2 linked regions of the Saccharomyces cerevisiae S288C genome follow. The protein of the gene in region 2 interacts with the protein of the main gene of each other region in a biochemical or structural test. Each region holds a gene or a part of one and is shown on either strand. Other genes may lie near its edges. The genes, in order: SSO1 and MSO1.

The links.
Region 1: the proteins of MSO1 (region 2) and SSO1 form a complex in vitro, tested with the Saccharomyces cerevisiae proteins (one study listed by BioGRID).

Annotation. Positions count from the first base shown.
Region 1 is NC_001148.4:105,484-117,426, forward strand, and holds SSO1 (syntaxin), read left to right. Parts: upstream 1-1,791; coding exon 1,792-2,664; downstream 2,665-11,943. Other genes in the region: MIND complex subunit NSL1, read left to right, coding at 689-1,339; trifunctional fatty acid synthase subunit FAS2, read left to right, coding at 3,169-8,832; USV1 (Usv1p), read left to right, coding at 9,829-11,004; YPL229W (uncharacterized protein), read left to right, coding at 11,584-11,943. UniProt on the Saccharomyces cerevisiae protein: Required for vesicle fusion with the plasma membrane.
Region 2 is NC_001146.8:711,999-716,195, reverse strand, and holds MSO1 (Mso1p), read left to right. Parts: upstream 1-2,540; coding exon 2,541-3,173; downstream 3,174-4,197. Other genes in the region: LYS9 (saccharopine dehydrogenase (NADP+, L-glutamate-forming)), read left to right, coding at 808-2,148; YNR048W (putative aminophospholipid translocase regulatory protein), read right to left, coding at 3,385-4,197. UniProt on the Saccharomyces cerevisiae protein: Involved in secretion. Component of the secretory vesicle docking complex.

The sequences.
Region 1 (11,943 bases), on a different chromosome or scaffold from region 2:
TTGCTTTGCTATATTTATTTTTTTTTTTCTTACGAGTAAAGAAGAAAATATTAGGTTATCTATGTTCCTTTTTCTAACTAATCACTCTTTCACTAAAGAATATTTCTTAGCAAAAATATGCGTACCTGCGTACCGGGTAAAAAGTCGCATTGTCCAAGTGCTGCTGCTTTTACGCAAAAGAACACATCTAACCGAAGAGGAATAAGCAGACCTGAACAATACCAAATAAAGAAGTTACTTCTTCTTTATCACCATTTTGACAGGTTTCTACATTTTTTTTTCCGTAGAGGGAAAACATATAAAAGCAGTCCAGTAATTGCTTGCTTTTTGAAATGGCTCTTTAAGCCTGAAAGCACAAGACGATTAGTGATATAGATAATATATACACAGATACACATGTACGTACATAAGTACTGATTTAGGCTGCAACCTTTTACCTGGCTCAACTGACACGAATATTTTGTTATCAGCCAAAATAAACGTTCATGATATATAGTGAGAAAAAAAGATCGATGGGACGACTCGCGGCCATTCCTTGTGCGTGCAGGAATCAAGAAAATAAACAAACCGGTACAGTACAATAAGCAGGCTGAGTAGGCGGAAAAAGTTTTATTCAGACGTGTACCGGAGCCTAAATCCTTTCTTACCCATAGCAACCACACTAAATATATTATTGTAACACGAGAAGATGTCACAAGGTCAGTCCAAAAAACTGGACGTAACTGTTGAGCAGCTTCGAAGTATATACCACCAGTTTCATGATATCTTGGAAGAAAAAACTGATTTGCATCTACCGAAGAAAGAATACGACGATGACGCTGTTAGGAGAGAGGTTCAGATACAGTTACAAGAATTTCTTTTGAGCGCTATGACGATGGCTTCGAAGTCACTAGAAGTTGTCAACGCCGACACGGTAGGAAAGACGGTAAAGCAATTGATCATGGAATCACAAGAGAAGTACATGGAGCCCTTTGACCTTGACCTGAATGAGCAAGTTAGAAAGATGTACCAAGAGTGGGAAGACGAAACCGTTAAGGTGGCCCAGTTGAGGCAAACGGGGCCTGCAAAAATCAACGAAGTTTACAACAACTCAAAGGATGAGTATTTGGCACAATTGGATGGGAGAATCGGCGTTCTTCAAGCTAGAATGATGCAGCAACAATCTGCTGACCATGATGATAGTACCGACGATGCCGATGATCACATCAACTGGGAGCACATCAAGCAGGATTACGTTGCCTCACTCAATGAATTGTATCAAACACAGCAAGACCTACCCAAGGTAAGATATAACGTTGAAAAGGTCAAGCGCTTAATGGACTTCCTGGAGGAGGATTGAATAAATAACATATAAGACAGTCAACCTCGTGGTAAATGATAACTATATTCTGGGGCTTTATTCATTTTTTTACACTTTTTTATCTTTGTACGAAGAGCTGAAAATAAAAAAGTATAGAGCCAGCCTTTTCCCACACACTAACGACAAAAGACGATATGCAGGCTGTGCGCATGGGGGAGAATCCAGTTTTTGCCCGTTAAAGAGAAAAAATTAGTGTCTGTGAAACGCGAATACAAAAAAAGAAAAGTAGCAGGATCTTACTTCTCGTAAAGACGTCAAGAACCAAATCAAGTCAAATCGTGGAAGTTACAAGGGGAAAGACCAATAACTTTTAGTAAAGAACAAAGAAAGGTCTATCTCACGCAGTGACGGTCTTTGCGGTAAATCTGTGTATACTTGAAAGAAAACCCTTTTACAATTAAAAAAGGCAATTAAAAATAGAAACAAATCAAATGAGTTATAATAATCCGTACCAGTTGGAAACCCCTTTTGAAGAGTCATACGAGTTGGACGAAGGTTCGAGCGCTATCGGTGCTGAAGGCCACGATTTCGTGGGCTTCATGAATAAGATCAGTCAAATCAATCGCGATCTCGATAAGTACGACCATACCATCAACCAGGTCGATTCTTTGCATAAGAGGCTACTGACCGAAGTTAATGAGGAGCAAGCAAGTCACTTAAGGCACTCCCTGGACAACTTCGTCGCACAAGCCACGGACTTGCAGTTCAAACTGAAAAATGAGATTAAAAGTGCCCAAAGGGATGGGATACATGACACCAACAAGCAAGCTCAGGCGGAAAACTCCAGACAAAGATTTTTGAAGCTTATCCAGGACTACAGAATTGTGGATTCCAACTACAAGGAGGAGAATAAAGAGCAAGCCAAGAGGCAGTATATGATCATTCAACCAGAGGCCACCGAAGATGAAGTTGAAGCAGCCATAAGCGATGTAGGGGGCCAGCAGATCTTCTCACAAGCATTGTTGAATGCTAACAGACGTGGGGAAGCCAAGACTGCTCTTGCGGAAGTCCAGGCAAGGCACCAAGAGTTATTGAAACTAGAAAAATCCATGGCAGAACTTACTCAATTGTTTAATGACATGGAAGAACTGGTAATAGAACAACAAGAAAACGTAGACGTCATCGACAAGAACGTTGAAGACGCTCAACTCGACGTAGAACAGGGTGTCGGTCATACCGATAAAGCCGTCAAGAGTGCCAGAAAAGCAAGAAAGAACAAGATTAGATGTTGGTTGATTGTATTCGCCATCATTGTAGTCGTTGTTGTTGTCGTTGTTGTCCCAGCCGTTGTCAAAACGCGTTAATTCCAACTATTTTCTATATTTCTATTCTATCCGAACTCCCCTTTTGTATATCAATATATCTTAATACTTTCGCCTATTCTTTACTATATTTCCTAAATTTTCTCTGGTCTGCAGGCCAAAAACAACAACTTACTACTGAATCATGGACGTGTATTTAGTTTAGCCAAGCAATATTTAAATATCACTCTTCCTAAAAATACATTGGGCATTACCCGCAAACTAACCCATCGCTTAGCAAAATCCAACCATTTTTTTTTTATCTCCCGCGTTTTCACATGCTACCTCATTCGCCTCGTAACGTTACGACCGAAATCTCACTAAGGCACGGTTTGTTGGGCAGTTTACAGATGTTGGATAACCAGTTGTTTCTAAACGGTTATGCCTCATATATAACTTGTTAACTGAAGGTTACACAAGACCACATCACCACTGTCGTGCTTTTCTAATAACCGCTATATTAGACGTTTAAAGGGCTACAGCAACACCAATTGAAATACCATCATTATGAAGCCGGAAGTTGAGCAAGAATTAGCTCATATTTTGCTAACTGAATTGTTAGCTTATCAATTTGCCTCTCCTGTGAGATGGATTGAAACTCAAGATGTTTTTTTGAAGGATTTTAACACTGAAAGGGTTGTTGAAATCGGTCCTTCTCCAACTTTGGCTGGGATGGCTCAAAGAACCTTGAAGAATAAATACGAATCTTACGATGCTGCTCTGTCTTTACATAGAGAAATCTTATGCTATTCGAAGGATGCCAAAGAGATTTATTATACCCCAGATCCATCCGAACTAGCTGCAAAGGAAGAGCCCGCTAAGGAAGAAGCTCCTGCTCCAACTCCAGCTGCTAGTGCTCCTGCTCCTGCAGCAGCAGCCCCAGCTCCCGTCGCGGCAGCAGCCCCAGCTGCAGCAGCTGCTGAGATTGCCGATGAACCTGTCAAGGCTTCCCTATTGTTGCACGTTTTGGTTGCTCACAAGTTGAAGAAGTCGTTAGATTCCATTCCAATGTCCAAGACAATCAAAGACTTGGTCGGTGGTAAATCTACAGTCCAAAATGAAATTTTGGGTGATTTAGGTAAAGAATTTGGTACTACTCCTGAAAAACCAGAAGAAACTCCATTAGAAGAATTGGCAGAAACTTTCCAAGATACCTTCTCTGGAGCATTGGGTAAGCAATCTTCCTCGTTATTATCAAGATTAATCTCATCTAAGATGCCTGGTGGGTTTACTATTACTGTCGCTAGAAAATACTTACAAACTCGCTGGGGACTACCATCTGGTAGACAAGATGGTGTCCTTTTGGTAGCTTTATCTAACGAGCCTGCTGCTCGTCTAGGTTCTGAAGCTGATGCCAAGGCTTTCTTGGACTCCATGGCTCAAAAATACGCTTCCATTGTTGGTGTTGACTTATCATCAGCTGCTAGCGCTAGTGGTGCTGCCGGTGCAGGTGCTGCTGCCGGTGCAGCTATGATCGATGCTGGCGCTCTGGAAGAAATAACCAAAGACCACAAGGTTTTGGCGCGTCAACAACTGCAAGTATTGGCTCGTTATCTAAAAATGGACTTGGATAACGGTGAAAGAAAGTTCTTGAAAGAAAAGGACACTGTTGCTGAACTTCAAGCTCAGTTGGATTACTTGAATGCCGAATTAGGTGAATTCTTTGTTAACGGTGTTGCTACTTCTTTCTCTAGAAAAAAGGCCAGAACCTTCGATTCTTCCTGGAACTGGGCTAAACAATCTTTATTATCATTATACTTTGAGATAATTCATGGTGTCTTGAAAAACGTTGATAGAGAGGTTGTTAGTGAAGCTATCAATATCATGAACAGATCTAACGATGCTTTGATTAAATTCATGGAATACCATATCTCTAACACTGATGAAACAAAAGGTGAAAACTATCAATTGGTTAAAACTCTTGGTGAGCAGTTGATTGAAAACTGTAAACAAGTTTTGGATGTTGATCCAGTTTACAAAGATGTTGCTAAGCCTACCGGTCCAAAAACTGCTATTGACAAGAACGGTAACATTACATACTCAGAAGAGCCAAGAGAAAAGGTTAGGAAATTATCTCAATACGTACAAGAAATGGCCCTTGGTGGTCCAATCACCAAAGAATCTCAACCTACTATTGAAGAGGATTTGACTCGTGTTTACAAGGCAATCAGTGCTCAAGCTGATAAACAAGATATTTCCAGCTCCACCAGGGTTGAATTTGAAAAACTATATAGTGATTTGATGAAGTTCTTGGAAAGCTCCAAAGAAATCGATCCTTCTCAAACAACCCAATTGGCCGGTATGGATGTTGAGGATGCTTTGGACAAAGATTCCACCAAAGAAGTTGCTTCTTTGCCAAACAAATCTACCATTTCTAAGACGGTATCTTCAACTATTCCAAGAGAAACTATTCCGTTCTTACATTTGAGAAAGAAGACTCCTGCCGGAGATTGGAAATATGACCGCCAATTGTCTTCTCTTTTCTTAGATGGTTTAGAAAAGGCTGCCTTCAACGGTGTCACCTTCAAGGACAAATACGTCTTGATCACTGGTGCTGGTAAGGGTTCTATTGGTGCTGAAGTCTTGCAAGGTTTGTTACAAGGTGGTGCTAAGGTTGTTGTTACCACCTCTCGTTTCTCTAAGCAAGTTACAGACTACTACCAATCCATTTACGCCAAATATGGTGCTAAGGGTTCTACTTTGATTGTTGTTCCATTCAACCAAGGTTCTAAGCAAGACGTTGAAGCTTTGATTGAATTTATCTACGACACTGAAAAGAATGGTGGTTTAGGTTGGGATCTAGATGCTATTATTCCATTCGCGGCCATTCCAGAACAAGGTATTGAATTAGAACATATTGATTCTAAGTCTGAATTTGCTCATAGAATCATGTTGACCAATATCTTAAGAATGATGGGTTGTGTCAAGAAGCAAAAATCTGCAAGAGGTATTGAAACAAGACCAGCTCAAGTCATTCTACCAATGTCTCCAAACCATGGTACTTTCGGTGGTGATGGTATGTATTCAGAATCCAAGTTGTCTTTGGAAACTTTGTTCAACAGATGGCACTCTGAATCCTGGGCCAATCAATTAACCGTTTGCGGTGCTATTATTGGTTGGACTAGAGGTACTGGTTTAATGAGCGCTAATAACATCATTGCTGAAGGCATTGAAAAGATGGGTGTTCGTACTTTCTCTCAAAAGGAAATGGCTTTCAACTTATTGGGTCTATTGACTCCAGAAGTCGTAGAATTGTGCCAAAAATCACCTGTTATGGCTGACTTGAATGGTGGTTTGCAATTTGTTCCTGAATTGAAGGAATTCACTGCTAAATTGCGTAAAGAGTTGGTTGAAACTTCTGAAGTTAGAAAGGCAGTTTCCATCGAAACTGCTTTGGAGCATAAGGTTGTCAATGGCAATAGCGCTGATGCTGCATATGCTCAAGTCGAAATTCAACCAAGAGCTAACATTCAACTGGACTTCCCAGAATTGAAACCATACAAACAGGTTAAACAAATTGCTCCCGCTGAGCTTGAAGGTTTGTTGGATTTGGAAAGAGTTATTGTAGTTACCGGTTTTGCTGAAGTCGGCCCATGGGGTTCGGCCAGAACAAGATGGGAAATGGAAGCTTTTGGTGAATTTTCGTTGGAAGGTTGCGTTGAAATGGCCTGGATTATGGGCTTCATTTCATACCATAACGGTAATTTGAAGGGTCGTCCATACACTGGTTGGGTTGATTCCAAAACAAAAGAACCAGTTGATGACAAGGACGTTAAGGCCAAGTATGAAACATCAATCCTAGAACACAGTGGTATCAGATTGATCGAACCAGAGTTATTCAATGGTTACAACCCAGAAAAGAAGGAAATGATTCAAGAAGTCATTGTCGAAGAAGACTTGGAACCATTTGAGGCTTCGAAGGAAACTGCCGAACAATTTAAACACCAACATGGTGACAAAGTGGATATCTTCGAAATCCCAGAAACAGGAGAGTACTCTGTTAAGTTACTAAAGGGTGCCACTTTATACATTCCAAAGGCTTTGAGATTTGACCGTTTGGTTGCAGGTCAAATTCCAACTGGTTGGAATGCTAAGACTTATGGTATCTCTGATGATATCATTTCTCAGGTTGACCCAATCACATTATTCGTTTTGGTCTCTGTTGTGGAAGCATTTATTGCATCTGGTATCACCGACCCATACGAAATGTACAAATACGTACATGTTTCTGAGGTTGGTAACTGTTCTGGTTCTGGTATGGGTGGTGTTTCTGCCTTACGTGGTATGTTTAAGGACCGTTTCAAGGATGAGCCTGTCCAAAATGATATTTTACAAGAATCATTTATCAACACCATGTCCGCTTGGGTTAATATGTTGTTGATTTCCTCATCTGGTCCAATCAAGACACCTGTTGGTGCCTGTGCCACATCCGTGGAATCTGTTGACATTGGTGTAGAAACCATCTTGTCTGGTAAGGCTAGAATCTGTATTGTCGGTGGTTACGATGATTTCCAAGAAGAAGGCTCCTTTGAGTTCGGTAACATGAAGGCCACTTCCAACACTTTGGAAGAATTTGAACATGGTCGTACCCCAGCGGAAATGTCCAGACCTGCCACCACTACCCGTAACGGTTTTATGGAAGCTCAAGGTGCTGGTATTCAAATCATCATGCAAGCTGATTTAGCTTTGAAGATGGGTGTGCCAATTTACGGTATTGTTGCCATGGCTGCTACCGCCACCGATAAGATTGGTAGATCTGTGCCAGCTCCAGGTAAGGGTATTTTAACCACTGCTCGTGAACACCACTCCAGTGTTAAGTATGCTTCACCAAACTTGAACATGAAGTACAGAAAGCGCCAATTGGTTACTCGTGAAGCTCAGATTAAAGATTGGGTAGAAAACGAATTGGAAGCTTTGAAGTTGGAGGCCGAAGAAATTCCAAGCGAAGACCAAAACGAGTTCTTACTTGAACGTACCAGAGAAATCCACAACGAAGCTGAAAGTCAATTGAGAGCTGCACAACAACAATGGGGTAACGACTTCTACAAGAGGGACCCACGTATTGCTCCATTGAGAGGAGCACTGGCTACTTACGGTTTAACTATTGATGACTTGGGTGTCGCTTCATTCCACGGTACATCCACAAAGGCTAATGACAAGAACGAATCTGCCACAATTAATGAAATGATGAAGCATTTGGGTAGATCTGAAGGTAATCCCGTCATTGGTGTTTTCCAAAAGTTCTTGACTGGTCATCCAAAGGGTGCTGCTGGTGCATGGATGATGAATGGTGCTTTGCAAATTCTAAACAGTGGTATTATTCCAGGTAACCGTAACGCTGATAACGTGGATAAGATCTTGGAGCAATTTGAATACGTCTTGTACCCATCCAAGACTTTAAAGACCGACGGTGTCAGAGCCGTGTCCATCACTTCTTTCGGTTTTGGTCAAAAGGGTGGTCAAGCTATTGTGGTTCATCCAGACTACTTATACGGTGCTATCACTGAAGACAGATACAACGAGTATGTCGCCAAGGTTAGTGCCAGAGAGAAAAGTGCCTACAAATTCTTCCATAATGGTATGATCTACAACAAGTTGTTCGTAAGTAAAGAGCATGCTCCATACACTGATGAATTGGAAGAGGATGTTTACTTGGACCCATTAGCCCGTGTATCTAAGGATAAGAAATCAGGCTCCTTGACTTTCAACTCTAAAAACATCCAAAGCAAGGACAGTTACATCAATGCTAACACCATTGAAACTGCCAAGATGATTGAAAACATGACCAAGGAGAAAGTCTCTAACGGTGGCGTCGGTGTAGATGTTGAATTAATCACTAGCATCAACGTTGAAAATGATACTTTTATCGAGCGCAATTTCACCCCGCAAGAAATAGAGTACTGCAGCGCGCAGCCTAGTGTGCAAAGCTCTTTCGCTGGGACATGGTCCGCCAAAGAGGCTGTTTTCAAGTCCTTAGGCGTCAAGTCCTTAGGCGGTGGTGCTGCATTGAAAGACATCGAAATCGTACGCGTTAACAAAAACGCTCCAGCCGTTGAACTGCACGGTAACGCCAAAAAGGCTGCCGAAGAAGCTGGTGTTACCGATGTGAAGGTATCTATTTCTCACGATGACCTCCAAGCTGTCGCGGTCGCCGTTTCTACTAAGAAATAGAGAGAGCACTACGTAGTCCCTCTTTTAATATGTAACGTGTCGCTTCTATTTATCAGACATAATAGTAATTACTTTGTTATTTTTCTATCGTTTCCTTACTTTAGCCTCTGATTTCGATCTGGCCTAATCATTGTGTACGTCTATAATCATATGGCCCTGAGCGTACACACCGTTCAATTCTTCTATTTGGTCGGCCCACACAAATTCGCGCGGGGGCATATTGACGCGTGGAAGAATAGAAGTCCGCGTAGCAGCTCTGGGGTAATTAGGCTTTTACGATATCGGCTGGCCCAGCACCGGTTTTTATTCCTCCCGTGGTTGTTGTCTCTACCGTGAGGAGGGGAAAGGGTCAGGGACGGCCGGTAGTTATGTTGTCTCAACGATTACTGCCATCTATTGTTTACACCAATCGCGTGGGGCAAGGGGCTGGAAGGCTGTGGTGTACAGAATAGGGTCTAATACCCGATGCGCGACGCTCCTGCGACTGGTTGTGTGAGCCACCCCTTGATCGCCTCTGCCAAATACTCAGGGAAGAGAAAAATCGCGAAGGTGGACGAGTGCCCTTAAAGAACCAGCATCCTCGATCGCCGCTGCCGTTCGCCCTGGCTTAGCGGTGGGAAGCATCCTTTGGCTTTCGAATTCTCCGCCGTTGAGTCCCCCTAAGGGCCTTATTTATCCCCTCTATTTTTTTTTAGAAAATGTTTTCTTTTTCAAGATTTGTTTGCTCCTTCACGGCTTCCCCCTTAACCGTTCAACAGTCTTCCGTATATAACAATCTCAATCCACTCTTATTGCCTATAATTTTGATTAATTCTTATTCATCCCGGCAGATAAAGTTTCGTCTTGTTTTGAAAGAGACAGGAGTTCTTGGCTGCAGTATTTTGCAACAGCTTCATTAACCATGTATGTAAAGAAAAAATCTGGAGCGACTTACTGGCTTAGCTTTTTTTACTAACACATAAATAATACTGTGATAAGATAAGAAAAAAACACGAAATGGAAAATACCACGAATCGTAATACTGCAGGCGTTCTTACGAGCAGCAATGGTAACTTTGCCACCAATAGTGTAGCGGCATCAACTCCGAAGAGGTCCAAAAGTGCTCGAAGGAAAACGTTCAAATGCACCGGATATGACGGTTGTACGATGTCCTTCACTAGAGCGGAACATCTTGCACGTCATATAAGAAAGCACACTGGTGAAAAGCCGTTCCAGTGTCCTGCATGTTTGAAATTCTTCAGTAGAGTTGATAATTTGAAACAGCATCGGGAATCGGTCCATGCACATAAAAACCACCATTCTACCAGCTCGCACCAGCGTAAGCCTTCCTCTTCATCTTTATCCTCCTCTTCTTCTGCATCTTCTTCGTCTTCTGCTTCATCATCTACATCATATAGTGATCCTTACAGGAAAACTAATATTAATAGCGGGAACATGCCGATGATGGCAGAAAACGAAAAAGCGCCCCAAATAATACATTCTTCGCCGGAGTTCATTACTAGCACGAGAAGCATCCCACCCATCTCTCCAAGGTCCATTTATAATACCCAACGACAGCAACAACACCAACAACAACAGCATCAACAGGCTCCCTATTATTTTCCTTCCCATCCAATCACTGATAGTTACTACCAGTATCCTCTTCCCAGTAATAATAACACCATCAATTATTTACCATCAGTAGATGTGCAGTATCCTTTGAATGTGAGCCCCTCCTCAACGAGCCATCCGGCCTCTGAGGTAATCATATCGTCCTTTCCTCCGAGGTCCATGCCAAGTACTTCCTTCAAATATAAAGATTCTGCCGACTTTCAAGCACGGACAACTATGAACAAATACAATATTAGACCAAGCAATATCAATGTCAATACTAGTAATATCAATAACCATCTTGATTCATTCTCCCCGCCGTTTTCTCCGTCAACGACAGTTGCTGAAGCAAAACCAATTATTTTACCACAGTATCAGCAGGCATTTAGCCAACCACCAAATGGAAATAAAAACAATAATATGTCTTCCTCGAAGAATGGCGGCAAAGGGGGAGAAAATTTCAAGAATACTGATGATCGCAATGATAATAATAACAAAAAGAGGTCGGAAACTTTATCAGAGTCTGATATTTCGGTCAACACCAATAAGAAAAGGCTTAGTGTTGATTACATATTGACTTGATCGAGGCAATCTGATCTAAGTTTCAAATATTCCGTAGAGTATAAATATCTTACAACTAATATAATTCTTAATATGCGCAAACAAATTATGGTGCGCATCTTTTTTTATTTTTATGTTTTGTTCCATACTAAATGCAGTTTATAAAATTTTTCAAATGAGTCAAGCTATGTATAATCAGTGCTACAAAAATGATAAGATGCAATTGCAAGAAAAAATCCCTTGCATAAAGGGCTTTCTGACCTCTTGCGTTGATCAACGAGAAATAACCGCAAAACTTAATTTTAAACTCCCGCGTCTGCTTTACACAGCCCACAGTAGCATCAAAAACTACGATGTAACACTAACGGTGGATTGTGAATACGGAACGAACAATCCTGCATCTTGACTTCAAAACTTGATCATATACACCTATACCGCCATGGTTATCTCGCCCTTACGCTCACCCGGACCCCCGTTAATTGCAATAATAAGAAAAAGAAAAGAAAGAAGCTTTTTATCTCATTTCACTGACAAGATGACGCTTTTTCCGATTTTAGCAGATAAACTATCACATATAACCACTTTTTTATATTACATGAAATGATGCCCTACAACACCCCTCCAAATATCCAAGAACCTATGAACTTCGCAAGCAGCAACCCCTTTGGTATTATTCCAGATGCGCTCAGTTTCCAGAATTTCAAATATGATCGTCTTCAGCAGCAGCAACAGCAGCAGCAACAGCAGCAACAAAATCGCACTGCGTCATCGTTACAGCAGCCGCAACAGCAACAACCAATAAGCCCGCCTTTGTTTTTAGTAGGGGCCGGTACCAGCGAAAACTCAAACCTTAACAAGAATGCCAACACTAGTACTATCCCTCCTTTACTCTTTAGCAGATCGTCTCAGCATTATGTTGTCCCAGATATAGACCACTCCTCCATAATATACAAGAACAAC
Region 2 (4,197 bases):
CAACAAACGTGTGAATAATCTACGGGATTCGTTTACCATAGGCTACCTAGAAATGGCATAGTCATGGAGATAAAGTCCCATGATATTGTAAACTAAATTGAAAGTAAAATCAAGGAAAAAACAAGTGAGATTGCAATAAGCAATCAAGAGAGAAAAGTTTTTTGACTGATTTTCGACTTGCTTTTATACCGATTTTGAAAAGTCGCGGGGAAAAGCTGGCAATTATTTTTCATTTTTTTTCATTAGGGCTAGAAGTTGCTAAGAGCAAACAAACTGTTACTTGAAAGGTTTTCCCACGTTGGTAGCTACATATGCAAGAGTCTTATGTATCGTATCTAAGTGCCACGTAGGGGATTCCCATCATTTGATGATTTCCAAATATAATACCTGTAGAGAGCGGTGGAGCAAAAGTCAAATTTTAATCGCAACTGCAGACAAGTCAAGCTGAGGAAATTGTGGATGATCTCTTGTTTCTTTTGATATTCACCACAACAGAAGTGAAGAGTGTGATTGCGGTTACTACTGACCACGAAGCAATGCGTTTAGTAGTGAAAAGAATTACTCATACTCTGGAATCGAAATTCCGTTGGAAAAATTCGCTTTGTAGTGAAAAATAAAGATGTCAATAAAGGGTATTGAGAATTTCCAATGGAATTATCAGCAATAGATGATAGAAAGTAGCACAGAATTTGGCTTAATGGTATATAAACCGTAGGGTCCTGGTAAAATTACATGGGAAGGATCCTTAGGCAGTAGGGAAAACTTATCAGGACAATTGAGTTATATTAACGTATTATATATTTTAATATGGGAAAGAACGTTTTGTTGCTAGGATCTGGTTTTGTTGCACAACCTGTTATCGACACATTGGCTGCTAATGATGACATCAATGTCACTGTCGCATGTAGAACATTAGCCAATGCGCAAGCATTGGCCAAGCCCTCTGGATCCAAGGCTATTTCATTGGATGTTACCGATGACAGTGCCTTAGACAAAGTTCTGGCTGATAACGATGTTGTCATCTCTTTGATTCCATACACCTTCCATCCAAATGTGGTAAAGAGCGCCATCAGAACAAAGACCGATGTCGTCACTTCCTCTTACATCTCACCTGCCTTAAGAGAATTGGAACCAGAAATCGTAAAGGCAGGTATTACAGTTATGAACGAAATTGGGTTGGATCCAGGTATCGACCACTTGTATGCGGTCAAGACTATTGATGAAGTTCACAGAGCTGGTGGTAAGCTAAAGTCATTCTTGTCATACTGTGGTGGTTTACCAGCTCCTGAAGACTCTGATAATCCATTAGGATACAAATTTTCATGGTCCTCCAGAGGTGTGCTACTGGCTTTAAGAAACTCTGCTAAATACTGGAAAGACGGAAAGATTGAAACTGTTTCTTCCGAAGACTTAATGGCCACTGCTAAGCCTTACTTCATCTACCCAGGTTATGCATTCGTTTGCTACCCAAATAGAGACTCTACCCTTTTCAAGGATCTTTATCATATTCCAGAAGCCGAAACGGTCATTAGAGGTACTTTGAGATATCAAGGTTTCCCAGAATTTGTTAAGGCTTTAGTTGACATGGGTATGTTGAAGGATGATGCTAACGAAATCTTCAGCAAGCCAATTGCCTGGAACGAAGCACTAAAACAATATTTAGGTGCCAAGTCTACTTCTAAAGAAGATTTGATTGCTTCCATTGACTCAAAGGCTACTTGGAAAGATGATGAAGATAGAGAAAGAATCCTTTCCGGGTTTGCTTGGTTAGGCTTGTTCTCTGACGCAAAGATCACACCAAGAGGTAATGCTTTAGACACTCTATGTGCACGTTTAGAAGAACTAATGCAATATGAAGACAATGAAAGAGATATGGTTGTACTACAACACAAATTCGGTATTGAATGGGCTGATGGAACTACCGAAACAAGAACATCCACTTTAGTTGACTATGGTAAGGTTGGTGGTTACAGTTCTATGGCCGCTACTGTTGGTTATCCAGTTGCCATTGCAACGAAATTCGTCTTAGATGGTACAATCAAGGGACCAGGCTTACTAGCGCCATACTCACCAGAGATTAATGATCCAATCATGAAAGAACTAAAGGACAAGTACGGCATCTATCTAAAGGAAAAGACAGTGGCTTAAATAAGAAGAAATGTATCAAAAGGTTTATCATACGTAACAGTAACGGCACTTTATAAATCTTTCTTTAGTATTACTTATACTTTCATAAGGAAACGTAAAAAAAAAAAAACCGGAAAGAGGGACAAAATGGACTAGAACGTAATTGAGAGTGTAGTTCCTGAAGCTTGAACCGCTAGTAAGTCGTCTACCTTTAGTCTAAAAAGTATTGGCTATTGCATTTTATAGTCTTGCTTCTGATCAGAACGTATTAAATGAGCTCGTAAAGACTCTTAGGAGTTTTTCACTTTTAGAGATTAATACTATTAGGAAAGGTGCAAAAAAATAAAACGCCAACTAACTATTAGACGCTAGGCCCTAATACCAACTACCAGTATAACTAAGATTTCACGCATATGATGAGTCAAGTATCGCATTCCCAAGAAGGATCCGGGCGATTTTGGAACAAGTTTAAGTCGTCAACCAAATCGTTATCTACATCGTTGGCACATTTATCCATTAAAGCAGAAAAAGATGGTGATACTGTAAATACTACATTGGTCCATAAAGGGCTTGTGAAATTCTATGAAAATCAGCATCCTTTCCAGGGGTTCCCAGGATGGTTGGGGGAGAAGGAAGATTTACCGAACGAACGTAAAATATTAGATACTCAAGTGAAGCATGATATGAAGAAGCAAAACTCGCGTCATTTCTCGCCATCCTTTTCTAACAGAAGGAAGGCTTCTTCAGAAGATCCTATGGGTACACCTTCTTCAAACGGGAACACACCGGAGTACACGCCTGCGAGTAAATCGTTTCAAGATATATACAATAATCATACAAGCTCCTCTAGCGCGACACCGAGAAGAGCTTCATCACGGCCGACTAGACCTTCAGCAGGCCAAGAATTCAGGGCAAGTCTCGGTCGAAGTAAAACGTCGAACAGTTTCAACACCTCCAGCACGCCAACGCCGCCACCAGACGCAAGTAGTGGAGTAATGGCAATGAAGGACAGACTAAAGAGACGCAATAACGATTATGGATTTTAAATAGCACTATACCTTGCTGAAATAAAGCGAAAAGAACATTTAATGAATATATAGGTATCGTATATGTACTGAATAAAGTGTTTGATACAGAATGCAAGGAGATAATATAGTATGGTATATAACCTCGTCCTTATTTTGAATATACATGAAATTACAACGCTTCCCTAGAGACCGAATCAAACGCAGGGATTTTATAGTAAATGATAATCAATCATAAAATTTCTCTCAATGGAATACTAACGACACTACTCTCATCGAATGGGGTATCGCTGTTCTCAAAATTTAGGTAGCTATGATCATGCATAGGTCTTGGTTTGAAGATGACTTTTATCAGGAATAGTATGGCGAAAAGAGTTGCAATCCCGGCAACAATCAAATAAACAATCCCTAATGCCTCGTTTCCAGCACCGATAATACTGTTTGTGGTTAATACAAAAGATTTTGTTCCATAGAAAGATCTTACTGGGTAGTTGAGTTCTATATCAGCAATGTAAATACCCTTACCTAACCCATTGGTCTCATTTTTCATTGCTAGCTTATAGAAGTTGGGCAATGCAGCAGTTCTCATCCATATTTTGAACTGTTCCCAGTTTTGTAGGTCTGGAATGTTATCGTCAGTGTAGCCATTGGGAAATAACTTGGCCCAATTTGGGGGCGGTACGATATCGGATGCATTGTATTCGGTCTTTCCATATCTGTGGCTGTCGGTGTCCCACGCAATACCTTTTGTGGTAAGCAAATAATCTGCAGTATCGTTTACACCAGTAAGTGTTGTGCCGAATGTATCATTGAACATCGAATTTGCTATCAATCCACAGGGGAATATGGTCTTATTTTCTACCGTCCTTAAAGGGTCACAGTTTGGATCCAGATCATTTCCGATCAATGCTTTTCCTTTTAATTGGTCTAGGTCAAGAGATTGCACATATTCTCTATAGTTTTGATTGAAATTTGTTAGGCGGTAATAAACATAAGTAGATTTCTTGATATGATTTGGAACTTCGAACTGTATTCGACAAGTTTG